Regions from separate parts of the Mus musculus genome. Here regions 1, 2, 3 and 4 are each reported to be linked to region 5. The links are microRNA targets in miRTarBase. Many come from high-throughput screens and were not tested one by one. Region 5 holds a microRNA gene; each other region holds the end of a gene's coding sequence.

Evidence for each region. Region 5 holds the annotated microRNA mmu-miR-466q (GUGCACACACACACAUACGU, at 2,752-2,771, opposite strand). A microRNA usually pairs through its seed, bases 2 to 8, with sites in the 3' UTR of a target mRNA and lowers its output. Matches are read on the target gene's strand: a 7mer-m8 pairs with bases 2 to 8, a 7mer-A1 pairs with bases 2 to 7 and ends in A, and an 8mer does both.
Region 1: the mRNA of Atf1 is a reported target of mmu-miR-466q. Seed matches in the 3' UTR shown: 7mer-m8 at 3,095-3,101.
Region 2: the mRNA of Nup93 is a reported target of mmu-miR-466q. The part of its 3' UTR that is shown has no 7-base or 8-base seed match.
Region 3: the mRNA of Foxk1 is a reported target of mmu-miR-466q. The part of its 3' UTR that is shown has no 7-base or 8-base seed match.
Region 4: miRTarBase lists Arhgef9 as a target of mmu-miR-466q. Seed matches in the 3' UTR shown: 7mer-m8 at 3,508-3,514 and 7mer-m8 at 3,436-3,442.

Annotation. Positions count from the first base shown.
Region 1 is chr15:100,259,737-100,263,795 of GRCm38, reverse strand. It overlaps Atf1 (activating transcription factor 1), which reads right to left. Exons shown (of 7, transcript NM_007497.3): 7 at 2,548-3,981. The coding sequence ends at 3,837. Among named protein-coding and RNA genes, the nearest start is that of Tmprss12, 19 kb to the left of the region's middle.
Region 2 is chr8:94,314,360-94,318,418 of GRCm38, reverse strand. Nup93 (nucleoporin 93) reads right to left here. Exons shown (of 22, transcript NM_001357266.1): 22 at 3,353-3,834. The coding sequence ends at 3,724. Among named protein-coding and RNA genes, the nearest start is that of Mir138-2, 7.9 kb to the left of the region's middle.
Region 3 is chr5:142,456,280-142,460,338 of GRCm38, forward strand. It overlaps Foxk1 (forkhead box K1), which reads left to right. Exons shown (of 9, transcript NM_199068.2): 9 at 197-4,059. The coding sequence ends at 477. Among named protein-coding and RNA genes, the nearest start is that of Ap5z1, 5.6 kb to the right of the region's middle.
Region 4 is chrX:95,048,309-95,052,367 of GRCm38, forward strand. Arhgef9 (CDC42 guanine nucleotide exchange factor (GEF) 9) reads right to left here. Exons shown (of 10, transcript NM_001290385.1): 10 at 627-3,846. The coding sequence ends at 3,665. Among named protein-coding and RNA genes, the nearest start is that of Spin4, 24 kb to the left of the region's middle.
Region 5 is chr3:28,418,692-28,422,758 of GRCm38, reverse strand. Mir466q (microRNA 466q) reads right to left here and starts at 2,816; the gene lies at 2,741-2,816. All of the region lies in intron 2 of Tnik (TRAF2 and NCK interacting kinase), which reads right to left.

The DNA.
Region 1 (4,059 bases), not on the chromosome of region 5:
TCTCTATGAATATATGTAGTGAACATACACACATTGCATAGGCACACTAAACTCAAGTAGCTGCCTCCCTGTGGGGAAGAAATCCTAAGAAAGGGTCTGTGGGGCCTCCTGTATGCATTCTCCTCTTCGTGTCACCTGTCCTGGGTAGTACACACTTTTCCTGCTTTATGACATTTTCATATGTTCTTGTGCATACATGCATGACACGATGCACATGTAAGAGTCAGAGAACTTCTGGGAGTTCATTTCATCCTTCCACTGTGTGACCATACTTGCGATGTCAGGCCTGGCACAAGTGCCTTTACCGGCTGAGCCACCCCATGGTCTGTATTATCTTCTACATACTAGTGTTTAGGTTTGTAGAGTGTGATTTTAAAGGAGAGTTGCCACCTAGTGGACACACTTAAATAGAACCTTTAAAAATCTTACCTACTAGGTTTTTAAACTATTTTCAGACAAGGACCAGAACCTTTCTGCTTTTTTTTTTTTTCTCAAAAGCCTTTCTAGCTCCAAACCATTGGTGAGAAGACACATTTGGAATGACCAAGAACACCCATTTTGGGTTTGACCCAACCTAGAATTTAACATCACTTTTGTTATTTACTGTGTAGCTTCAGGGAGAGTATCATGTTTTTCTGTATCTACATGAATTTGTATTCACACCTTTATCAAACATGAGGAATCCTTTTAATTTTTAAAAAAGATTTTATTATATGTGAGTACACTGTAGCTATACTTACAGAAGTAAGAGGGCATTGGATCTCACTACAGATGGCTGTGAGCCACCATGTGGCTGCTGGGAACTGAACTCAGGACCTCTGGAAGAGCAGTCAGTGTTCTTAACCACTGAGCCATCTCTCCAGCCCCATGAAGAATTTTCTTGATGGAGCTATAAAAGAAGTGCCTCACTGGAGTTTACTAAAGGTATGTACCAGGGTGAAGGTAGGATTGCTCTGTTTTTTAAAATAAATTTAATACTGTCTGTGGATGTGTGTGAATGCAGGTGCATGCCAGATGGCTGTGGTCAGAGGACAACTTTTGGGAGTCAGCCTTTTCCTTCAGCTCTGGAGATGCAATTCATGGGGTTAATGGTTTACTGAATGGTTAAACTCATTTGAGATGTGTGGCCTCAAGTAACAGGCTCAAACTCTTTTTCAGATAGGGTTTCTTCTCTATGTAGCCCTGGCTATCCTAGAATGTGCTTTGTAGACCAGCCTGGCCTTGAACTCAGAGATCTACCTTGCTCTTCCTCCTGGGTGCTGACATTAAAGGTGTAAGTCATCTTGCTAGAGAGATGGCTCAGCTGTTACGAGCACTGGCTGCTCTTCCAGAGGACCCAGATCAACTTCCAGCACCCACACGGCAGCTCACAACTTGTCTGTAACTCTGGTCCCAGAGGATTCTGACATCCTCAGACAGACAGATGCACAGGCGAAACACCAATGCACATACAATTAAAAAGTGTGTGTCGCCACACCCAGCCTGGTCTTAAATTCTTGGTCCTCCTGTTTCAGGCTCTTGGTCTCAACTGAGATCCCAGGTGTGCACCACACGCTACAGTGGGTTAACCACTGCTTCAATCCCAGCTTTTATGCCCTGGACTCTTTAGCCTGGTGGACAGAGTGCCTTGCATGTGCGTTAGAGTGAGACCAAGTCTTACTTTATAGCGTATTACTTGTTTAGATCTGCTCTGCGTCCTGACTGCCTCCTTAGCCCTCAGGCATTACTCTCTGGTGCTAACTTTGTGGCACTTTTTTTTTTGTTTGTTTGTTTGTTTTTCAAGACAGGGTTTCTCTGTGTAGCCCTGGCTATCCTGGAACTCACTCTGTAGACCAGGCTGGCCTCGAACTCAGAAATTCACCTGCCTCTGCCTCCCAAGTGCTGGGATTAAATAAAGGCGTGCGTCACCATACCCCGCTTCTTTGTGGCACTTCCTGGGAATGTGAACCACCATCACCGCAACTCACTGACAATTCTAAGTCAGAATGCATCTATCTACCATTCCGTGAGCAAGGAATGCCTACCTATTCTTCCTCTTTGCTTAAAAATCATCACAAAATCATTTACTGGCCTGGGAAGCTGCTTCACTGTAGAGTGCTGGTCTGGCCAAGTGTGAGGTTCAACACAGAAAGAACAAAATGGAACTGACCTGAGAAGCCTTACATGTGGCTACACTGGCTTACAAAGGACAGGGGAATGTGGAACACCCTGATCACGTAGGCTGATGGGCAACCAATTAAATGAAAGTAAGGAATAGCCTTTGTGCTCCAACTGATGAACCCTCCTTGGGGTCCACTGCAGACTGACGAGGTGACTGACCACTGGTGTGAGGTCCCAGGGCTCCACAGAACAGCAACTTCCCTGTTCACTCTAACTGGTTCTTCCTGAATCAGAGCACAAGTGCACCCTACTGAAAAGCACACTCAGACCCCAGGCTTAGAATCTGGCTGCACTTTAAGGCTAAAAATTCCTCAGTGAGTATCTCACACAGTGGCTGCTGGTGGGCTTGGCAGTTGTTATATCAAACATGTTTTGCATTCCGAAAACTTAATCTTATCAAATGTTTTTTAATTTCACAGACAATATGAAACATACTCTGTAGGTACACAACAGTTCTGCAGTTTCCAAGTGAACACAGATTAGAATACAGAGGTTAAATGCTGGTGTACTGACCACAGCTGAAACTTTAGATAAAACTTTATATAAAACATACAATTCAATTATCAGCCAATTTGAAAATTTTACTCTTCTCATAATATAAAAATGATACTTTGAGATACAAAATTTTTTTTGCTAAACAAACTATATAAACATTTAAAATAATCATTAAAAACTCAACATTAGAATTTATAAAGATTCACTATAAAAATATATCGGCAGTCACTTCTTTTATAAAGGTACCATGGGCTACATTACACAATAGTCTCAATGTAAGATTGCCTCAGTAACTGTTTTAGAACCTGACAAACCTTACGGTAAGATGATTATAAAACCCCTCAGGAAAGCTTTGGTGTGCATATTCAGGTTATTTAAAACATTTGAGGGCCTTTGTAAACACTTCATTCTGTTAAAGCGCAAGAGAATGATCTTCAACTGCACACAGGATTAGAGAATCAAAAAACAAAAAAAACAAAACCAATCTATTATGTACTTGCCCTTATCAGAGGAAGCAAAAAACAAACTATTAAACTGTCAAACTTGCAGACAGTTCTCTTTCCATTCTGACAAAGCAAAGTCACAAACCACCTCCACCACAGGCTGATGTGTCTCCACGCCATTTAGGAGATCTCCAAACCAATCGAGTCCAACCAAACTAACTGCTAAAAACTCATTTAACATACCTGACATTACGACACAATCAGACCACATAATTTACATACTTAGTAACGCTTTATGCTTTTACATTTGTAAATTTATTGGCAGAAATGAGGCACGCACGCACACACACACACACACACACACACACACACACACACACACACACACACACACACACACGCGCGCACACACACAAAGGCAAGTTTTAGGGAACAGAGAAATACAGACGTAGCAGGAACGGACTGCTTCACTAACGTCGCCTGCCATTTTCGTTGCTGACCATTATTTCTATTTAAACTGCTGAAAGTCCATTCCTTGAGCACTCTATCTTTTCGGAGCTTCCAATTGAGACAGTAGCTTCCTGCAGGTCATCTCCATTCTCCCTCCATCATGTCTGTTTGTGAAAACCTAATACAAAGTAGCTTCTTTGACCTTTGAATTTATAGAACTCCACTAAAAAGAAATCCACCTAATTTTTAAGCTTTAAAGTCCACAAAAAATACTTTCTCTTTAAAGAATCAAACACTTTTATGAGAATAAAGGTCCTTCAAAGTCTTTAGCTCCTCTATTAGAGTTTTATTTTGATTTTCCAGAACAGCAACACGGTTCTCCAGGCACTTCACGTACTCCTTCTTCTTCCGGCGGCACTCTCGGGCAGCTTCTCTAAACACAATGGACAGAACACATCAGGAAAATGCAGCACCCTTCAAGTGGAAAATTTCCCCCACTATTCCTGACTCT
Region 2 (4,059 bases), not on the chromosome of region 5:
TGGGAGCCTCAGCTAGGGAGCTCCCATTCCACTGGAGAACAGAGCAAAGGGAGCACATGGCGCATTGGGAGAACATTTACTGGATAGACAGGGGTGGAGTGAAGGAAGCGTCCTGGACAGAGCAAACACACAAGTTACTGCACGGAAAGGACCACGCACACACCGACTCGCCCACCATTCCCTCCCCACAAACACGAGTGACATCTGAAAGGCTAAGAGGAGAGGAGAGAATCTGCCCACCACATTACCAACAGAAATTACTCAAGTGAGGCCTGTGTCCTGCCTTCCCCGCAACCCCCCTCTAGCATACACAGCATTTGAAGCCCCAATGGACAAACATCTGGCAGGTGACAGGATAAAGGCCCTCTGGGGCCCCCAATTGTCCCAGTCAGTCAACCTGCCTGAAGGCCAGTTATGGCCTTCTCATCTGGCTGCCATTTTTGCTACCTCTCAAGTGTGAATGGCAGCAAAGGAGGGTTATCCAAGTAGCTGCGAAGCTCCTGGCGGCCTGCACCAGGCCCTAGGCTTCCAGTTACTGAGTGCCAGTGGATGCAGAGCCAAAGGCACACCAGACAAACTGCAACTGATGCTGTCATTTGCACCCAGAGGTGACTCTGTGTTCATATGCTAAATCTGTCCCCAGTGAAGGAGCTCATGGCCTGCCACTAAAAGGCTGGGCCAGGTCTTCTGGGACCCCCAGAAGGCTACAATCATTGACTCTGAAACTGGATACCCTTCTTACTGCAATAAGCCAGTGAATGTCAATAGCCAGTGTTTTTACCTGCACCATGCCCAAGAAACCGATGCTCAAGGGCAAAGGCAGCCAGGAACAATGCATGCCAGAGTAATGCTGCATCTCTACCCACACTACCCTAAGTATGCAACAGTATTCAGTCTTGGAGTTTTCATCCATCGCCCTACCTGAGGGATGACTCAGCTCACCCTGTAGCCAATCAGTCCACACCACTTTAGCCTGCTCAGGGCAACATGCCAGTCTGGGGGCTATTTGTAGCATAGTATTCAGCAAGCTCCAGGCATGAATGTCATGGATAGAAGGAATGGACTCATGGCAAGATACATGAAATATCCAATGAATTACAAGCAGAGGCTCTGATGCCCAAGAAAAAACATGGGTGTGGAGCCTAGGGCAGCAGGAGCTGGCACATTCAGCTAAGTTAACTTTGAGGGTTTGGACCATGTAAGCATTTATTCAACTAGAACAGTCAGTTCTGAAATCCAAAGCAAGAACCAACACACCTTTGTTTTGTTATTGAAATCAGGCAATACTGGGTTAAGGTGGGAAGACCCACAATTCTTTGCTTAAAATATCCCAAAGCATCACAGCAGTAACCACGGAACTCCTCTGGGCTCCAGTCTGAGTTTACATGGTGCAGGAGTGGGGTCTGCTTTCTGCCTCCAGTGTGAAGAAGCTTCCAGCTCTTCAATGAACTTCCCAGCTCAGGAGCTGCAAAACCAGAAGACTGGCTCTATGCGGGTTCTACCTCACTGTTCACTTGAAGTTACCCAACTTTACTTAGCAGTTCACTTATGAGCAGGAAGAAAAAAAATAATGGGGAGGGGGGTACAGTGGGAAGATGAGATCAAATCTCCAGGCCCAGAAAAGGTGCTGGGTCTCTTAACTCTTCCCTCCCCTATGGGGTCCCCCAGGAGTTAATTATGAGATCCTTAGGCAGCCTCTTACCCGCTCTGTCTCAAAATACCCTTGATTTTGTTCAAGACTAGAGACTCAGCCCTGGAAAACAAGAGACTCCAGGAGCATTTTCTTATTTCTCCAGGTAAACAATGAAATCACAATGAATCAGGAAAGAATTTCGTTCTCTGAACAAATGAGTGGAGATGGATGGATTAAGCTAATAATCTGCCCAAAAGTCACGCAGTCAATGGACATACACCAGCCCAGCATGCCACATGTAGTCACAGAATCAGCATATAGAGCAAGTGGGAGGTTTAACTCTTCTCGAACAGTACCTCATTCTTCCCACAAAGGTCTCCTTAAACCAACTCCTAACCTGCTAGCCACTGACTACACCACTATCCAAGCAGCTGTTTTTCATCCCTACTAGCTTTTCGTCTCATCTGGTTTCTGGCAGGACATGTGTACAGTTCTATATGCAGCCAGACTGCATAAAGCAAACACAAATCTACAACTGACTCTCATAGGGTGAAGAAGAGACAAGCCACAGAGGCTACAACCAACTCCCATCTTCTTGAATTGTGGTAAAAAAGCCAATTTAAGGAATAAAGTTAGGGGGCTAGAGAGATGGCTCAGCAATTAAGAGCACCAACTGCTCTTCCAGAGGTCCTGAGTTCAATTCCCAGCAACCACATGGTGGCTCACAACCATCTGTAATGGGGTCTGATGCCCTCTTCTGGTGTGTCTTAAGAGAGCAATGGTGTATTCATATACATTAAATAAATAAATCTTAGAAAAAGAAAAAGAAATAAAGTTAGTTACATGCTATGAAAATCTGGAGTACTCTCATTACATCATGTCAGCTCCTGGGGCACAGACATGAGCTACACCTTGCTCAGATACACCTACAGGGCTTGCCTTCTGTGACTTCATAGTAAAGCTCAGGTTTGGGTCCTGCTAACAAGATCAGACCAAAGAAAAGGAAGATAGAACATGACCTGGAGGATCCTCAAGTAATTCCTTTTATGGATCATGAAATCTGTGCCCATTATTGATCCATTAGCCCTTTCCCAAAGGACAAGAAATGGAAGTGACTATCCTGTGGTAAGAGAGTTCTCCCTAGAACAAAATCCTTTTTGGAGAACCTGTGAGAAAATGTGTTCCTGAGGGGCAGACCTTGCTCAACTGGTTGGCTCAGGAGCAAATGCTCATTTTGATCTTTCTAGTTTAGCTCAGGGCTACTGGTCCTGTGGAAGAAGTAGGGTCAGTAACATGACAACTACTGTTCAGGGATCAAATACTCCGAATGCAGGTATCAAATGGTTCCTGTACTGAGACATGCAGGATGAGCCCATGAGCTTGCTTTCTGAAGAGCAGAGGAGTGGATGGGCTCACCCACTCTACACTGTGAGCTGGGTACTTGCACTGCTTCTATTCCAGCAGTTCCACGCCCATGCTCTGACCCGTCTCTGGAACGTACACCAGCAGATTAATCTCCTGGGATCTTGGCTGAGGAATGAGGGCTGGTGTGAGGCTAGATGACCTCAAAGACTACTCCAGAGAACAGCAGCACTTGGTATTCCACCCACAGATCTTACACCAACCAAAGCTGGCTTCACACTCAACTACACTTGTGGAAAAGCACAGTGATTCTGCTATATGGACTATGACATCCAAAGGCTTTGATTCCTTGCTCATGGTGGGTAATTTTTTTTAATCATTTAAAGTCACATTGTCCAGATTTACACACCTATGTAGCCTCTCATTCTCTGGCCCCAAAACAACTGTGGACAACATTTCCCAAGTAAATACACACACACACACACACACACACACACACACACACACCCCAAAACAAGAAAACAACCTAAAATTTTAAAGGAAAAAAAAAAGGAAAAAGAATGTTTAAAAGAAATACAAATCAAAGAAATTTATTGGTATTGACAAAAATACATAATACAAAAAACAAAACACAACACAACAGAAACAAAACTGGAAACCCACCCCAGCTGGCCCACGTGCCTAATATACTGACAGTGTGCAGTCCCAGACCCCATCAAACACAGCGCTTAATTCATGAGGACCTCCATCTGCACCAGCCTGGCATTAGTGTCCCCCGACGTCCGGTACGGTATCATCCCAGCAAAGGTAATCAGGGCTCTGGCTTGACTTCGGAGTTGCTGAGAGAAAAGGGGTCAAGACAAGAAAACTGGTTAACTGCAGGTTAGGGTGAGGCACCCACCAGGTTCTTCTATGTTGTGCACTCAGTGTCAGGATGTCTCAGCCTCTACTGTCACATTATTCCAGCTTTATGTCCCTTTAAAAATAAATTTGTCCACTGGAGCCCCATTCCACAGGGTGTCAAAGCTTTTGGTGAACAAAGGCTGGAGACTGCCAGAAACGGC
Region 3 (4,059 bases), not on the chromosome of region 5:
GTGACAGAGGCAGCAAAGAAAAGGGCCCTGAGTGGAGTCGGGTGTTGGGTGTCTGACTCAAACTTGCTGTCGGCGGGGAGAAGGAGTCTGTGTGAGGAACGGGCAGAGAAAGAACTGTGGCTCTGGCTTTGCTGCTCGGGTCAGTTAGTGGTCAAATAGTGATGACCCTTAAGTAACCTCTTCTTCCTACCGCCAGCCCTCAGCAGCCCCCTGCAGCTCCTGGCAGCCCAGGCAAGTTCATCCACTCCAGTGGTCATCACCCGGGTGTGTGAGGTGGGGCCTGAGGAGCCAGCAGCAGCCGTCTCAGTAGCCGCTAATGCAGCGCCAACCCCAGCCGCCTCCACTACCACATCTGCCTCTTCTAGCGGAGAGCCCGAGGTCAAGAGGTCCCGGGTAGAGGAACCCGGTGGGACAGCCACCACACAGCCCACAGCTATGGCAGCCACCGGCCCTCAGGGCCCGGGGACCGGCGAGTGAAGTGTCGCCTGCAGGAAGGTGGAGTGAAACTCACGCCACAGGAGCCCTAGTGGCCAGCAGCTACATTCAAGGACCGAGTGGAAAAGCCCATCACAGCCTGCAGCCCTCATGTGGGTGGCCGCCGCACTCGGACAGTTTCCTTTTTATCTCCTGTCCTCCCATGGTTTGAAACAAACACATAAACACGTACAGACAACTTGATTGTATGAATCTGGGGGTTCTGTGTGTTTATTTACCCCTCTCTCATGCCATCGCCTCTCCCCAGTTCTTGGGGGAGAAGGTCTATCTAGCCCAGCTCCTCAGGAATGGATCCCAGGCAGCGCCCACAACAAGAGCCTGAGCCCCAGGCCTGGACAGAAGCACAGTGCAAACCCAGGCTCCTCTCTCTGAGAGTGGGTCCACGGATTTCCTATTTGTGACTGATCCGGGAATAGACCAGAAAACAGAATGGCAAGAACTTCCCAGCCACAGGCTAGGATACAGAGCCCTCTCCCCAAAAGTGACAGAGACTGTGGCATTAACTGGGGTCAGGGAGATCTGCTTTGGCTTTGGACCCTAAATATTTCTTTCAGCTAAATATGGAATCTGGGCTCATCTCCAACCTGAGACACACAGAGCAGACCATGTGTCTCTGAGGTTCCCTTTTGTAGGCAGCCAAGCAACACCAGGCCCTGCGCTCGACCACACCAGGCCCTGGTGAACATGCCGCTCTCCCTGATAACTCCAAGAAGGATGGGCGGCTCCCACATTGATGGATCAAAGAGCTCTGGGTTGAAAGTCAGCCCAGGGCCAGTGCCCACAGCACTGAATGAGTCGAGAGCTGCAAGCTACAAACGGATCTCCAGGGAAGCCTGAGCCAGCTGCAAGGGAAGTCGGTCAGCCACTTGCTCAGCAGGAGGATGATGGATGGTGGGTGGTATGCGGCAGGAAGACAGCAGAGGATCTGGGCGGTGATCTGCTCACACCGTCTCCTCCCCCACCCACCCCACCCCCATTCCAGTTAACTGAGAACCCTGTCCAGTTTGAAAATGGAAACCCTCTTTTCTACCTGACCGTTATCCTCTGGAAAGGAAACTACCTCTCCGGACAGCAGTCGGTGCCAAGTTTGAGTACAGTGCAGCAAGAACCAAAGCGTGGGTGTCAGCTGAGGACTTGGACGCCCGGGGAAGGTCCCTTTGCATGCCGGACAAGTGACCAACAGCACTTTAACATACACCACACCAAGTCTCGTGAGCAGGAGCCATCAAATGTTTCTCTCTGTGAGAATGAGAGTTGATTTTATAGAAGCAGTCATGGGGGCTGTGCGACAGGAAACTCCAAAGCAGCCAGAAACTCAGTGTTGGTCCTCCTAGAGGGTGGTCGGTAAGCAGCTGGCAACAACTTGGACAGAGCCCCAGGCCCTGTCGTTGGTATCAAACCACCCACCAGTCAGCCGCCTTCTCTGCCTGGTGCCGGTCAGAAGAGGCCCAAGGGCCCTGTGGGCAGAGAGCAGGCTGGACAAGCTGCCTTTGCTGGAAGGGACTCCAGACCTGGAGGCTGTGGTCACAGGAGAGCAGATGACCGGGATGGATAAGTCCAAGCTCCGATGTATGGCTGCTGCCATTGAAGCCACCAGTGCCCCCCACACATCAGGGACCAGGGCGGAGCACCTGCCTCCTCTCTTGAGCTATCTCCCAAGCTCCCCAGCCAGTCATTTCTGTAGTACTCGGCTTCAAGCCAGTGTTTTGGAGGTCTCCTGCCTATTGCCTGGAAAGGTTCAGAGAAGTGGGGCTGGTGTGATGGTGGCTGGGGGAGGGGTTTCCCCTCAGAGGGGGCAGAGGGCTGGCTCTGTCTCACATCTTCCCTTGGTACCTGGCATGAACTTCTCTCTGTGTGCCTGGTGTGAGCCTGGGGTTAGGGAAGAACGAATGGGGTGGAGATCTGAGTTGCGTAGTGGGCTGAGGTGACAAGGGACGTTGGTGCCAGCTGCTGATCTTTCCCTCCATCACCCTTTACTCCAGGGCTGTCCATGGTCACCCTCCAAGGCAGATTAAGATTGTGGATGGTCATGAGCAGGTTGCTGTCCCAGTTCCTGAAACGTGGGCTCCGTGCTCTGAGGCAGATCTTCACCATTAACAGGGGCGTGGAAGGGTATGGAGAGAGAGAGAGAACACACACTGTCCCGGTACACGGCCTGACGGCCTGGTTGGACAGCCTGAGCTACAAGGAGGCTAGACTAGTGCTGCTGCTCTGCGGAGTGGGTTTGGTCATCTGCTGGGCAGAAGCTGGCACCAGAGCGTGCTCCCACAAGCTCTGAGCCAGGAGGGCCATGTCCACGCACTGTGTGGCCCATGGCTGGCAACCCTGGAGCACCCCACTAAGCCCTGGGTTGGGGGAACAATTCAGGAACAGATGTGAAGCCTTTATAGACAAAGGAACCCCTTGGGCAGTGGTAAAACAGTGTAAGGTGGGGGTTAAAGGTCAGTGAAATGTAAGAAGAAACCCTTCCCCATAGAGAGAAACGGGTGGATTGTTCCTGTTCTTCCTCAAAATCCTCAAATTTCATAACACCCACGTGACATTGCTCGCCCAGTCCCTCCCTCCCCATCCGAACTGCACAGTGCCTGCTTAGAATAAGTCAGAAAGGGGTGGCGTCTCAGCTCTAGTGAAAGGTCCCTCATGTGTGGGAAACATCACATCCTGGCCAGGAGAGGCAAAGTCACCACAAATGGCCACAGGGTACCCCGAGGCTAGGTCAGGGGGAACAGAGCGGCCACCTATATCCTCACCTCCGGTCTCCCAGAATACCTCTGCTTAGAAGCAATATTAAAAAGGATAAGTCAAGCTGTTCCAAAGATTGCCACTGCAGACACCACTTCCCTTCAGAGCAGGCCCTCTGACAGGGACTTTGGCTTGCTGGGCCGGGTGGGCGGGGCAGAGAACAGAGGCCTTCTGCCTGCTGCTTCAGTCCTGCTCCCCATTTAATGCCCCCTTTCATCTTGGGAGTTCTCATGAACTCAGGGTGGGTCTTGCACCCACCTGCTTGTTGGGCTCTAGATTGTTTTGTTTTGGGTTTTGTTTGTTTGGGTCTGTCCTGCAAGGTGAGCTACTAGGCCAGTGCTCTACCACTGGCTGTACTCCCAGCCATTTTGATTTTTTAAACTTGAGATGGGACTCACAAAGCTGCCCAGGCTGGCCTTGAACTCCCAGTCCTCTTGCCTCAGCTTCCTGAATTTCTGGGGTGATGGCCTACATGCTACCATGGCCCAGCGCTGTTTGCGTTTTGTCTTTTTTTGTTTGTTTGTTTCTGTACCAAAAGCTGCTACACTGGTGACACAGCAGGGTGTGGCCTAGGTGCCCCCACAGACTGGCATATGGCACGTCTCTCTCTCTCTCTGCCCTCCCTAACCCCTAACGTCACAGCTGCTTGGCAAGGGAACATTTTTGAACCAACCACAGATGTTTCCTTAGGAAAAGTAGGTTTTCTACTCGTGGTGAAGAACAAAAGCCCCCTGAGTGGTCCTGGCTGCTCCTCTGCATTGCCTCACTGCTCCAAGGTTCCCTCTATCAGGCCTCAGCTCTACTGCAGGGAACATTCTAGAA
Region 4 (4,059 bases), not on the chromosome of region 5:
TATGAGACATTCTTATTCATTTGGACTGTGACCGGCAACATTACATGGCATGTGCAGGCCTAGTGGAAGGCAAAGTATTTGTGTACACAGACTATACATAATAAAGAAAATAATAAGGTCACTGTGTCCACACATGGACAATTAAAGTCTACTTTTAAGGAGTCAAGCCCACAAGTTTTAAGAGGGAACCTGGAGTGGGAGATTCCTAAGTGTTATGGTACATTTAAAATGCAGTGTTAAAACTGTCACAAATACCCAGGTTGTATTTTGGACCTGTACACACAAGAGAAATGAACAAGATCGGGAACAGGCCACTAGGTTTTAGCAAAGTACCAGGTAAAATGAAAGAAAGTCCTACCTATAAAAATATTTTAACTACTCATGGCTACAGGCTTTGAGTACAAACACTGTTCTTTTACTCTTCCAGAAATGATAGAAAATGTTTCCCAATATCCCTTGGAATACTTTGGAAATGAAACAGCAGGATAAGAAACTCAAGATAGTTAGAGCAAGTAGTCTCACAGCACACAAATTGCCTTTATTTTGCAATTGGCCACACACACACACACACACACACACACACACACACACACACACATACACAAATGGCACAACTGTGCCTGAAATTCTTTTTTACTTCTTTTATTGAACTCCATAAATATTTTCATAAGGCTTTATGTCATTACAACATCTTTTTTGTTGTTGTTGTTGTTAAACATTTCCAAATACACAATTTTGACACTTGTTTGACAGGGTCAAACAGTCGGATAATAGAAACAAAAGAATAAGCCGGCAAATGCAGAGCAGCAGGGGTCAAAATCACTGTTGCCCATCTAGTCACCCAGCCCGCCCCACCCCCAAAGCACTAAAATAGCACTATTTGGCTTCATACTAGAATTGTTAGAACTCTCTTGCTGCTGTCCTTAATAGATCAATTAAAGATATACACATAGAAAGTGGATGAGAGAAGGAGAGAAAAATTGTATTTCTGTATTTAGGACCTCCCTATAATAGAACTCATAGAACAAACTCACAAAACTGGAGAAAGAAAGTTCGGGCCTCATTGAGTTGAGGAAAGGGGAGTCTGGGGCCATGCAGAAACAGGAGAAGTATAGAGTTATTTTTGGGGGGGATTATATGGCCGTGGGGCTGCAGCAGGTTCAGCTACTGAGTCCAGGGAATTGATGAGTTTCCCTTTGGGCTACTGGCCACTGATCTATTTGGAGCTGTAGGTGTGAGGGTGGAGCCAGGCATTCCAATCCAAGGAGAGCGGAGTTGGTAGTGCCTTCACAAATTACTACATCTTGTAAGGTTAGTGGACTGGATGGAGAAACAGGATGATGAGAGGTAATACCCCTGATCTGGGAGCCTTGAATGTTGGACTCAGAAAGGGGAAAAGAATGAGAAGGTCTGGCCAAAAGATACTATAGATCTAGAAACCTTTCAAAACAAGCCCTCCTGGTGTGCTCCTAACCCTGGGAGAAAGTTGCCAAGGCCAAGCCTAGTGAGAATGGGTAGAAAGTAGGAAATGAAGGTGCAATAAGGGAGGCCTGCATAGGAAGTGAAACACATTTCAGTTTGCCAAGGGAGAGCATTGTAGTCTATGTGCTCGATGCCAGATTTCTTGCCATAAGGGCTTATGTAGCTCTATCATATGCTGAGCAGTGATAGCCAGTCCCGAGCCCTGGTATTCTGCTAGTTAGCCTTGATAACTACAAAGTCTGACAACAATGTGTAATTTGTTTTTCAGAGGGGAAAGATTCTCAGGGGTAGGGCTTAATCTAGGTCAAGAAGTACAAATTCAGCTTTTTTGAAGACCTCATACAGCTATGGTTGCTACTTGGTAAGCTTAGATCTTTTTTTTTTATAATGAAGTATTTTCTTGTGAGGTCCAGGACAGACACAATCTCCAGATTCCTGGATAGGGTGGGTTTTCACACTTCTTTATATTCTATTGTTCTTGCTCCAATCTCTAGCCATAGAAAGGGCTAAATGACAAAGAATAAGCACTCTTGTACTCATGAGGATTCTGATTTTTGTGGGAAACATTCTGGTCAAATGGAAACCCTGCCAAGAAATAACTTCAGTGTTCTACCTCAGATCTTTTCTTTTCCCCCAGATGTAAAAGTAGCCCTAGGCTTCTCTACCACTTGCCTCAGTTGTCCTGGGATGGGAGTCTGTCTGGAACAAAGCCTGCTTTGAGTGCCATAATGGCTCTAACTATCCCATACTCGCAATCCTCTACCTGAAAGACAGTAAGGGCAAAAAAAGGAGACAGAGATTATCCATGCAATCTGCTAACAATTGGGGATGTTTCTTATAATTTCAGTGATGCAAATTACTGGTATATTATCTTAGATCAAGCCTCTCTCTTTTCCTGATGGTCTCTATAAGATGCTGTTGTCAACCTTGAACTCTTTTCAGGTTAATCTGAAGGTGGCTAATGCTCTTGGCCAAGCAGGTTTTTCTCTTGAACGCCTCCATAAACTACTAACAATGATGCCTTATGAATCTGAAAACAGAAGCAGGGGTTACCAGAACACTATAAAGAGAGCCCTGCCTGACACCTACCTACCATCTATGAGTTATGGGGTGGAGATAAATCTCTTCCCCAGGATGCAAAGTCTCAATTTCTTTGCTACTAGTTTAGTTAAACCTTTTGCCTAGGGAAGAGATAGACTGAAAAGGAGATCCATAACAAAAGAGGCTTGGAAAAGAGACTAATGGACCCAAACTAATTCTTAGGTGGAAACTTTCAATGGCTTAGCATTGCTGTTATATGGGAAGAAATCACCTAAATAAAAACTATCCCCCTAACAGAAATCTTCTCGACTCTCATTACATTCGTTCACTCCTTTGTTTCTGTTTGGTTTTATATCCTTCCACAATACCTAAAACAGTGAAAGCAATAGAAATACCAAGCAGATAAGTCACAGGGCACAACAGAGCATGTATAGACTGGCACAATTGTGGACACAGGATGCTGGGAAGAGGCTGTTGGTATAACTGCAGGGCTACAGGAACATTTGCAGATGGGTGCATGAGGAACAGGAGACGGGAATCCTCCCCTTCTCAGTGGAAAGTGACAGGGAGAGAAATGAAATCCCAAACCCACTACATAAATTCAATTCAAAAGTTATCAGCGTCAGTATCATAAGGAAAGGGAAATAAAACAATGCAAATACTCTATGGTAATAATGACAGGTCAGTGAACTAGAGGAGCGAATAAGTTATCTTAACAGGAAAAATAACAGAGAGTAAGGGGGAGGAAACAAGGTTAAGAACTAAAAATTTGAAGAAGTGATTACATGTTTGGAAATCAGTGGTACTTCTTACCAACTACAGATTTCAACTCCCCAAAACAACAGAAAATGGTTTTGGTCCTTCTCTGTGTGTGTATATGTATGTATGTGTGCATGCATGTGCATGCATATGTGCACACATGCCCACACACACACGTGTATACGTAAAGGTCTATGTGTGCGTGTGTGTGTGTGCATGTATGTGTGCACACACACGCACACACACACACTCACTCTCTCTCACACACACACATTTTATATATATATATATATATAAATTTTCAACAGTGCTTCTCCGAAAAAAAGGTCCATCTATAAATATAATTTTATTTATTTTAAAATTATCTGCCTTCCTATAGGTATTATTTTTTGAAGGGGGTTAACCTACTGAAGTTTTGCCAGAATGGTGACTGGCTGCGTTTCGGTTCAGTGAACTCAAACACTTGAGACTGAGCGATGCCATCGGGGACCAGGTACTGGCCCTGGTTTAACGGGTCCTGTGGTGGTGGGTAGGAAGGAGGAACTGAGCGGGCAGAGTTGACACCTAGAGCAAATAGGAGACCAAAGGAAAGAGTATAAATTAAGTACCAAGTGAATTTTCAAATGAACAGTGATCACTCACAGTACACTAGTTTTGTGAGTTTTACCTGGTAACGGATTGAATAACCCTAATTCCAAAATCTGAAATACTCTCAAATCTAATAGAAAGTAGAAAGTCTATACAAATATTTCAAAATAAAAAAAATATATATATACA
Region 5 (4,067 bases):
TGTACAGCTTAGACCTGGGCACACATTTTTCGTCTCACACATTTTCCTCCTGATATCTCCAGTTTGTCAAGAACACAATTTCACGTTGTAAGAAATCATTCTGAAAGCTCTTGTGTATGGGTAAGTACCTACATGGTTTAACCTGAGCTTCCTGATGACATAAGAAAGGTACCACTCCTGGCCTACTTCCTCAGAAAAAGGGCAACACCTTCCTTTGCAGATGATGGGGAGTTAGGAAGACAGATTATGGCAAGGAAGAGCTTTCCAGTGTGTGGTGGGTATATACAGACAGCTGGGCAGGAAGCCCATCACTGGGTGATGACTGCCCTAACAGGGGGCTGGGGCAAGCTGCACCATGTGGGATCAAACTCTAGAGGGAGATGGAGGTGAGATGTGAATAGATGGAAACAAGGTGTTCTGCCTGGGATGTCTTCAGGAATGTGACATAATCCCAGATAGAAAAGAATTACGTAATATCAGGGAAATGTCTGCTGTTAGGTTTACAGATGCCAATGGCAAGACCACTTGACAGTGAGAATGTCGGAGTCCAGATGATGAGGCTAAGAAGGATGGAGGGAGCCATGAGCAAGCTCTAGTTGAGAAAGAGACCCAAGATGACACTAACAAATAGTAGATTCCCAGCAGAGGGAGCACAGTTAGCTAAAGCACGCATCGTTAACATAATGACTGGCTACATAGCACACACTATTCAGCTGCCATCCTTTCTCCATACCATAAAGGCATAGCTCGACCACATCAGAAAGCAAAAGCCACACAAGGCAGACAGCAACAGCTGAAAACCTGAGGAATTATTTGCCTGTCAGAAAGAATGTTATGTTTGGGAATCTGTGTGGAATTCTTTCTCTGGCTTCAAGATCACAGATCTGCAAGTGTGAGAGGCAAGTAAAACAAAAAAACGAGTTCTAGACCACCGAAGCGACAGCCTTTCATTTGGGTGACCAACAGTGAATCTCTTGAGCATCAGGACAAATTCTAAACAATGAAAATCCCCCCACGCAACCCCCCAAAAAACAATAACAACAACTTAGCATTTTAGAAGCAAAAGGTCTCATTCGTGTGGATTTTCATTAAAGAGTAAAAGAAAAGATCTAAAGCCACAGGAAACTGGAAAGACAAATCAATGGGGGAAATAAGCTCCTGGTGGTCAGGGTGAAGGTGCGTCCCAGCAACGCTGACTGAGCTTTTGCAAAGACAATGTTTGTGTGCTCTGCGTCCTAGTGGCCAGATGTCTTAGCCAATGGTGATGGGAACTGACTAGACCAATCCAGCAGGGCCAATCCAGAGGAGAGACTTGGCAGGAGACTTTGTGTTTTAAGGTGGCTCCTCCAGTGTGAATTTAGGGAAAATATTCAAAGGATCTGTGGCCACTCTCAGATGTTTGCTTTAAAGGGGGCACTTGTGGGGCTAGCAGGATGGCTCAGAATTAAAAGCACACACTGTTCCTACAGAAGACACTAATCTGGTTCCTAGCACCAGTATGATAGCTCAGCCCATCTGTAAATCTAGATAGACTGAGACTGACTCCCACCCACAGTCACCTAGCACACAAATGATGCACAGACATGTATGCAGGTAAAACAGCCATACACATGAAATAAAAATAAATACATCACATTAAAGGGAAAAAAGGGAGAGGAGAGAGAGAGAGAGAGAGGAGGGATGGTTGTCTCAAAAGAATTAAGACCATACTTAAACCACCCTTTACCTGTTTCCTAAGCTTATTCTGTCTTTCATTCTTTTCTGTTAATTGTATCGGGTGAGGGGCTAATGAGAGCTAGCTGTTACTAGCTGAGTGTGCTCTGCTGTCGTTTGGATGGGGTTTTCCCCATTGCAGCTCTGAGCAGAGCACCTGGTAGGCTCCTCGTCATATTTGCCCTAGCCAAGCAAGCCAGGAGCTCAAGGAAACACCTCTTAAGTGTTTCCCAGTTTGGAGGTTGCACACACATCCCATGTTTGGCTGCTATTATAGGCCAGAAGTTCCTAACACAGTTTGACTAAAATACATCCACTCTTTTCATTTGATGTAGATCTAACCTAACTTGTGCAAAAAATACTTATGCAAAGATACACAGTGATGGCAAATGAAATGCTTCTGTTGTTGTAGTTCTTCTTGTGCTCCTGCAGTACCAAATCTCGGCCACGAGCCACTTGTGAAATTCTGCCTTCTTCATTTCTAACCCTGTGAATAATGTCATTCATCCTGGAATGGAGTGATGGGTTACGGAAGGACAGATCAGCGTGACCTCTCTAGTGACTACAAGCCACTACAATTGTCCTCAGAGATGCCCGAGGTCCTCTGAGTCTCTGGAGCCCTTTTTATATATTAATACAATGACATCAAATGCTATTTTCGCTCTTGCCCCACAGTTGTACAGTGGAGTTTCCCAGAGGCTGCATGCCACAAGATGATGTCATCACTGCGGCTAATGGACATTGTGTTATGCATTAGTAATATTGTGCTTTAAAAAGTCCTTATTGTATTTAATGAAATCACATTTATTGGCACTATAATAAATGCTGGTAGACAATCCATCCAAACATACGGTTCTTGCACTCTTCAGTAGTATTAAGAATATAAAGCACACCTATAAGGCAGCTCAGAGGGTAAGGGTGCTTGCTGCCAAGCCTGACAACCTGAGATCAGTCTCTGGGCACTACTGGGTAAAGGAGAAAATTGACTCCTACGAGTTGTCCTATTATCTCCAGAGATGAGATATGGCATGCATGGGTACGTATGTGTGTGTGTGCACATATACTACACACACATACACACACACACACACACACACACACACACACTAAAGAGAAGGTAATAAGAATATAAAGGAGATTTTTAAAACTGTTTCAGGAGTAGAGGGGTCTTCCTAAGGTAGACTTTAGATAAATATGGTAGTGACTGCCTGTAATCTCAACACCCAGGATGTTAAGACAGGAGGACTGAGTTCAAGACCAGGCTAGACTAGAGACCCCTGTTTCAAGCATGGGAAGGAGTTAAAAATAAAGAATTTCACTAAATTCCTTCAGTTTTCTGCATGAAAATTTCTCAGCTCTTTTTTTTTTGCTCCACCCCACTGTTAAGCACTCTCTTGTGATATATACATTTAATACTTCAATAAAGTTTTATTTGCACCTATTGCAAACCCCACCTTACCCCCCAGATAGTAGTAAAGTCTACTAGTAGTATACCCATGTGGACTCAGCTGAGTAGAATCCAGATGCCACATTCTTCAGAAGGGTTTTCACAGCCCAGAGCAAAAAGTATCCAATTGTCTATTTTCTTCAAGGAATATACCGAGGCTTTCTGAAGCATTTATACTACCTAGTCACTTCGGATCCTACTCTGTTTCTCCAAATATGAATTTCATGTCAGCTTAAACCTAACATGGCTCTCAAACGCCAGTTTTCACCCACTACTTCCACTCATTAACATACTTGTGGTGAGCACCTAATAAAAAGAGAAATGGCAAACTCTAGTCACAAATATAAAACACAAAGCAAACTCGAGAAAAGTTTTTGTATATTTTTACAACTCGGGGAATTTTTCCTCACCCAAATCTAATTACCGGGAGCCTAGGAAGGAAAGTTCACATCATAATGTATGATGAGAAGCGTTTCCTCTAATTATACAAACATGATACAAATAGTTCTGTGCAAAGTGCTTCACTGGATAAATATTAGCATGCCATTATCATCGTTCACTGACTAATCTGGGCACTGGCACTTCTCTGCAGACTTCGTAAAAAACAAGGGAAGAGGAAACGAGGTCATGAGTGAGTCCTGCTGCACACAGGAGCACCCTATGTATCTCCATCTCAACTCTCTAATCAGATGAGAAGCATGCATGCTGCCCATGGCTTCTCGATGAAGATACTGATGCTCAGAAGAGGTCGGTACTTTGTTCAAGACTGAAAGAGAAAACTGAAGCTGGAGCCCATCCCATGCCTGTCTCTGTCTACTCTGGTGCCCGCTTTCCAGCAATCTTTTTTCTTAAGAACCCTCACCCGAGGAAGCATGTTCCAATACCAGTTGACCCAGAAATCAGAGTT